Oryctolagus cuniculus: one gene and its partner. The protein of the gene in region 2 interacts with the protein of the main gene of each other region in a biochemical or structural test. Links are inferred from orthologs where the notes say so. Each region holds a gene or a part of one and is shown on either strand. Other genes may lie near its edges. The genes, in order: GNA12 and ARAF.

Region 1 (3,813 bases), on a different chromosome or scaffold from region 2:
CCCCAGTTGGCTGCAATGGCCAGAGCTGAGCCGATCCAAAGCCAGGAGCCAAGAGCTTCTTCTGGGTCTCCCACGTGAGTACAGAAGCCCAAGGACCTGGGCCATCCTCCACTGCTTTCCTAGGACATAGCAGTGGGCTGGATCAGAAGTGGAGCCGCCAGGACCTGAACCAGTACCCACATGGGATGCCGGCACTGCAGACGGCGGCTTTACCAGCTGCGCCATAGCGCCAGGCCCTCCTGTTGTTTCTTATATCTAGCCTTAGAGGTTACAATCTCCTTTCTGTGGCAATCACAGTGCCTACTGCTTTTAACGTCTTCACCTGAATTGTAAAAGTTAACTAGAGAGGGGCTGGCACTGTGGCATAGCAGGTAAAGCCGTCATCTGCAGTGTTGGCTCCCCATATGGGCATCGGTCTGGGTCCCAGTTGCTCTGCTTCCACTCCAGCTCCCTGATGATGTGCCTGGGAAGGCAGAAGATGAAGATCCAAGTGCTTGGGGCTCTGCACCCACATGGGAGACTCAGAAGAAGCTCCCGGCTCCTGGCTTTGGAGCGGTCCAGCATCAGCCGTTGTAGTCACTTGTAGGGTGAACTAGTGGATGGAAGACCTTGTTCTCTGTCTCTCCCTCTCTATCTCTGTGGCTCTTTCAAGTAAGTAGGTCTTTTGTTATTGTTGCTGTTTTTACAGTTAACTAAATGGGGCCAGTGTTGTGGCATAATGGGTAAAGCGCCATATGGGCGCTGCTTTCAGTCCACGCTGCTCCATCTCCAATCCAGCTCTCTGCTGTGGCCTGGGAAAGTGGTGGAAGGTGGCCCAAGTCCTTGGGCCCCCGCACCCACGTGGGAGACCCCGAAGAAGCTCCTGGCTCCTGACTTCGGATCAGTGCAGCTCCAACCATTACGGTCAATTGGGGAGTGAGCCAGCGGATGGAAGACCTCTCTTTCTCTCTCTCTGCCTCTACTTCTCTCTCTGTGTAACTCTGACTTTCAAATAAATAAACGAATCTTTTAAAAAAATAAAATTAACTAGAGAAAGAATGTGCAAATGAGAAAGGGTTGGAGGAAAACTCTTGGGCCAATGTTGAGGAGAGGCAGTATGGACGCACAGTCTCACAGTATCCCCCCAGACACAGAACAACGGCAGAGAAAAGCAGTGACTTCCAGCAGCGGGAGCTGGCAAACGCCGCCTGCACCAAGCCATCCAGCTCCCAGGCCTGCACACTCCCAAATCACCGCTGCCCATGACACGGGCTCCGGGCAGGGCACAGTCAGCGCTCTCGTCTTCTTGCCAGGAGCACAGAACACACAAACCCAGACAGGGACGTCCCACAGAACAACTGACCACGCTCTGCACGCCAGGGTCGCCCGGACAAGGAAGGACGCGGGATTGGTCACGGACTGGAGGCGACTGAGCAGACAGCTCAACACGACGGAGCACCCTGGGCTGGCTCTCAGCACCCACGATGCCAGAGGGAAGACAGGTTAAGTCTGGACAGGTCTACAGCTTCATTAATGATATTAAACCGACGTGTGCTTCCAGGCCTTGACCTGGGTGTGTAACACGGGAACATCAGGGAAACTGTGTGAAGAAAACAGACGCTGAGCTGGAAAGATTTCTAGCAGACTACACCCAGCACGTCACAGATGAATGAGGAAAGCGTGAAATAACTCAGGAGATGCACACACAGACAACACACCTGGGGGCATCTCAGTTAACAGAACGCGGTCCAGTTAAACTCTGGGGTCGGTAATGCTCAACACTGGCATGGATGCAGACCAACAGACTTCTCCCTGTTGCTGGCACGACCACCTTGGAAAGCTGCCTGGTGTTAGCACGTCTGCTTGGAGCTTTATACCCCACGGCCTGCAACTCCTGCCCCAGAGCACACAACTGGCGGAACTCCTCCCAGCCGCAGCCGCAGCCAGGCAGGAGAGACACCGTGCTTTCTAGCAGTACAATCGGACATTCAGAAGTACGCTGACGGCGGCAGGGACAAATCCCAGCAATGGACAGAGTGAGGACGAGGGACCACGGTTTCACAAATCATGTGAATAAATTCCAAGATGTCGCTTGAAAAAGGTAAAACAGAGAACACGAACAGCCAGACACCATTCACACACTAGGTTTGAAAATGGGTAAAATTCAGTAGCTCACTGTTCACCACACACACACACACAGACACAGACACACACACACAGAGACACATACAGACACACACACAGACACACAGAAATGCACACACACAGAGACGCACACACAGACACGGACGCACACACATACACACACACACAGAGCTAACAGCAAAACTACACATGCATCAGTAAACCACGGAAGAAGGAAGGGTCTCCTGACGGAAGCTCAGGACCGAGAGCTGAGGGTGGCGTCTGTCTGGAACCCAGGCGTGCGCCAGCGTCAGTGGCACGCGTGTCCTCGGGTGTGGTCCACGTTGGAGGGCAGTTAGAGGGAAAAGTAAAAAAAGAAACAAGCAAGACACGGGAACGCTCTGGTCATGGGGCCTGATCCTTCAGAGGCGGGCAGGCTGGCTCCCGAGGCACCCGCCCTCCCGGCAGCACTCGGTCCTCCCCTCTACGCACACGCCATGGCTGCCACGCTGCCACGCTGCTTCACGGCCCACCAGCTTCCTACTAGGAACAAGACCTAGAAAGGCGAGTCGCCCGAGTTGCGCCGACTGTGACCATTTTAAGAATCCTACTTCGGGAACAAAAGCATCTACCCAGCCCACGTGAATCCTCCTCCCCTTGAACCAGTTTCATTCGCCTCCGTCACGCGTTTTGCTGTCGGTCACTGGGATCTGCACTCACAGCTTTCCTGCCCTTTCTGCGGTTTTTAAAGGAAAACGCGACCAGAGCTCAGACAGGCGCCCGGAGGCCGCACTCACCAGCTGAAACTCGCTCCTGCGGCTGAAGGCCTCCCTGATGCCAGAGTCCCTCCAGAGCGCGCCCAGCGCGGGCACGTACAGCTGGAAGGTGGCGGGCTCCACAGGAAGTCCCGCCTTGTTCTCAAACGCCATCAGGAACATGCCATGCTTCTCGTTTTCAGAATACTGCCAAGGAATACCAAGCTTGTCTCGCGCGTCGACAAGAACCTTTGAGCCCTAGGAAATAAAAGAAAAAAGAAAGATTTAATTGTGCAGCAGACACTACATCATACTAGAGAAGCCCAGCGCGGCCTCTGTCTTGGCCTGTGTTCAGCTGCTACGGCGCAGTAGCCGAGACTCGGTGGCTGACACAGCCAAGAGGTCGCTTTGCTGCTGGTTCCGCTCCCGGCTGGAGCTGCTGTACCGCGACACGGCGCAAAGCAGAACCGGAGTGAGCACCGGTAAAGAGGCAGAGGGGCAGCCAAGGCCGTCCTGGCTCTGCTGTGTGAATCCCTCCTGCCAAGGCTGCCTGCCACGCTGCCACAGCGGCCCGCAGCGGCAGGTTCAGTTTCCACTTGGTAAGTCTACATGCGACAGCACGCAGCACCTGTCACAGAGCCGAAGATGCCCAGGCGGGGCAGTGTGCAGAGCGGCACGCGTCTGCCTTGCGGTGACATGGGTGCCGTCACTCCTAGGAAGGTGGCCTTCTCACGAAGGACGTGTGTAAGCAGCACACAGCTCTGCTCCTGCTAGCCCTCATCTGACACGGCACCCGGGGGACGCTGCTGGAGACACCCAGCACATGCCCTCGTCCGAAACGGCACCCGGGGGACGCCGCAGGAGACACCCAGCACATGCCCTCATCCGACAGGGCACCTGGGGGACACCGCGGGAGACGCCCAGCACGTGCCCTCATCCGACACGGCACCCGGGG
Region 2 (3,040 bases):
GAGGGAGAACGTGAGTAGTTCGGACATCCATAGCTGATGTAGGGATCCCCGTCCCTGCTAAGACCACATACCACAATCCAGGAGCCCATGTCCCCATGGGCCCCTGACCACTGTGGCCCAACTCACCATCCAAAGCACAGAGCCTGAAGGCTGCTCCAAGGGCTGGGCCCCGCTCCACCGCGTCTTCACGGTGGCCAGGCCAAAGTCACCGATCTTCACTGTGAGCCCCTCATGTAGGAAGATGTCCACCAGAGTCAAGGGCCACTACAGGGACTCCTAATAGCCACATCTCTCACCCATGAGTGCCCCAGACCAGAAACCCCTCAATGTCACACAAACCATGCACAACCTGGATGGGAGAGGGGAGCTCCAAGCGATGCCTTCCACATTGGGCCCCCCTCTGTGACTCAGCCAAGAAGGCCCTCAAATGGGATCTGAACCTGCCCTGCCCTGCTCAGAGAATTTCCACACCTCAGACCCTGACCAGTCTCCAAGAATCACACGTGAACCAGGAGCACTTGACTCCTCACCAACAGCCCTCCCCAAAGCCCCCTCGCAGGCTGCTAGCCATGTTGACATAGGCCCCTCCCTCTTCAACCCCAGAACACACCCGTGGGAACCAGCCCTCTAAGCCCTCACCCAGAAACAGGTAGATACTGTTAGACTTGAGGTCTCGGTGGATGATGTTCTTGGCATGGAGGTAGCTGTGGAGGTAGAGGCAGGTAGTAATTGGCTGGGTGCTCCTATACACCTATCTCTCCCCTCCCCCAAACCCTGAGACTCACTCCATGCCCTGGGCAGTCTGCCGGGCCACGTCGATGAGCTGGACCATGTCAAAGCGCGTGTCGGCCACATGTAGGTGGTGGTAGAGGCTGGAGCCCTCGCACCACTGTGTGATGATGGCAAAGCCCGGTCGGGTCATGAAGCCCATGAATAGCAAGATGTTGACATGCCGTGTCTTCCTGTGGGTGGGGAGGAAAAACAGCGACTGTCAGGTCCTTGCTGAACATCGGGAATGGCACTGTTTGTTGCCCTCTTCTGTCACTCCTTTTCACTTTGTCTTTTAGGGCACTCAGGGTCAGACTGCTGCCAGGTTCCATCAGTGTGTGAGACACGTCTGCTGGGGACTTACGCTCTGAGCTTCCTCATCAGTGTCTCCCCACAAAAGCAGGAGGGAGGGAGCAGCAGCCCCACCCCTCTGCCTACCAGCAGCATCTCCAACTGTTAACACCCTCTACACCTCTGCCATAGACCATTACCTGGGCCTGCTGCCAACCCTCTTCACTGATACACTGACATAACACTGAGATAAATGCAAGGTAAACATACTGGTGATACAGTGATTACAGCCTCTTAATTGCCGTGACAGGCTTCGAGGTAGAGTTTGGAGTCTGGGCCCTTGTTACATCCTCAGTTCAAAACTAGACTTCACCAGTTACTGTACAGCCTTGGGGAAGACATTTAACCTCTTTGGGCCTCATGTCCCTCAACTGTACAACTGTGATCACTAGAGTAGCTACCTTACAAGGATGTCCAGTGGAATAAGCGAATAAGCAATCTATAAGGTGCTTAGCGCAGCGCTGAACATACAGAGTAAGCACTCTGAAAATCTCACTCTCAGGAGTGGGCACTGTGCCACAGAGGGTTAAGCCGATGCTACGGATGCCAGTATTATATATTGGAGTGCCAGTTTGAGTGCCAGCTACTCTGCTCCAACCCAGCTTTCTGCTGATGCACACCCTGGGAGGCAGCAGAGAATGGCTTAAAGTACTTAGGTCCCTGCCACCTACATGGGAGACCTGGAGTGAATTCTGAGCTTCTGGCTTTGGCCTGCCCAATCCTGGCTGTTGCAAACATTTCGGGGAGTAAACCAGTACATGGTGTCTCTCCCCCACCCCATTCCTCCCCTTCCCGACTCTCTGCCTCTCAAGTAGATGAAAATAAATGAATAAACATTTGAAAACAAGAAAAAAAATTAAAATGTCATCTTCCTGTTCTTGCTGCTAGGTACATGGGTCTATGTTGCGGGAACTCGGTCTCTATGAATCATTTCTCCCTACTTTGAGAAAATCTTCATTCCTTACAGAAAGAAGTAATAGCCACAGACACACTGCTAGCAGAAATGCAAATAGCATGGATGCCATTTTGCTCACATCAGAGGATAACACAGCACACAAGGATTCTAAATAGTGGTTAAGACTATGGTTAACACTGAATGAGAGTAAAAATGAACAGCATTCAACTGCCAGCTCACAGAGAGGAACCCAGAACAAGAGTTTTCTACTGTGACATTCATTATGAGGATAAAGACTAAGATCACACAAGTGTGTGACACACACTGAAAGTAAAAGAATGGGAAAAGATACACCATGCTGAGAGAAAGCAAAAAAAAGAATGGAGTAGCCATCCTAATATCAGAAAAAAAGGATATTAATACAAAAACTGTTAAAAGAGACAAAGAAGGGCATGATAAAATGATTAAGGGATCAATTCAAAAGGCAGATATGACTATAATAAATGTATATGCACCCAATGCCAGGGCACCTGGCTATTTAAAACAAATGTTAATGGATTTAAAGGGAGAAACAGGCTCTCATACAATAATAATAGGGGACTTCAACATCCTACCTTCATCAATGGACAGATCAACTAGACAGAAAATCAACAAACAACAGAGCCATTCTATACAATGGACAAAACAGATCTAATTGATATCTACAGAACACTTCATCACACAGTTGCAGAATGCACATTCTTTTCATGAGTTCATGGAACATTCTCTGGGACAGACCATATGCTAGGCCATAAAGCAAGTCTCAACAAATTCAAAAAAACTGAAATCATACCACATATCTTTTCTGACCACAATGGAATGAAGCTGGAAATAAGCAACTTCAGAAACTCCAGAAAATATGCATAGACATGGAGACTGAACAACACCCTCCTGAGTGAACAGGGAGGTCACAGAAGAAATCAAAAGAGAAATAAAACAATTCCAGGAAACGAATGAAGATGACAGTACAACATACCAAAACCTAAG

Evidence for each region.
Region 1: the proteins of ARAF (region 2) and GNA12 form a complex in vitro, tested with the Homo sapiens proteins (2 studies listed by BioGRID). The link is inferred for Oryctolagus cuniculus from reciprocal best matches to the Homo sapiens genes ARAF and GNA12.

The regions. Positions count from the first base shown.
Region 1 is NC_091450.1:37,494,361-37,498,173, forward strand, and holds part of GNA12 (guanine nucleotide-binding protein subunit alpha-12), read right to left. Parts: intron 3,117-3,813; coding exon 2,901-3,116; intron 1-2,900. UniProt on the Homo sapiens protein: Guanine nucleotide-binding proteins (G proteins) are involved as modulators or transducers in various transmembrane signaling systems. Activates effector molecule RhoA by binding and activating RhoGEFs (ARHGEF12/LARG).
Region 2 is NC_091453.1:33,065,907-33,068,946, reverse strand, and holds part of ARAF (serine/threonine-protein kinase A-Raf), read right to left. Parts: intron 963-3,040; coding exon 786-962; intron 705-785; coding exon 658-704; intron 246-657; coding exon 127-245; intron 1-126. UniProt on the Homo sapiens protein: Involved in the transduction of mitogenic signals from the cell membrane to the nucleus. May also regulate the TOR signaling cascade. Phosphorylates PFKFB2.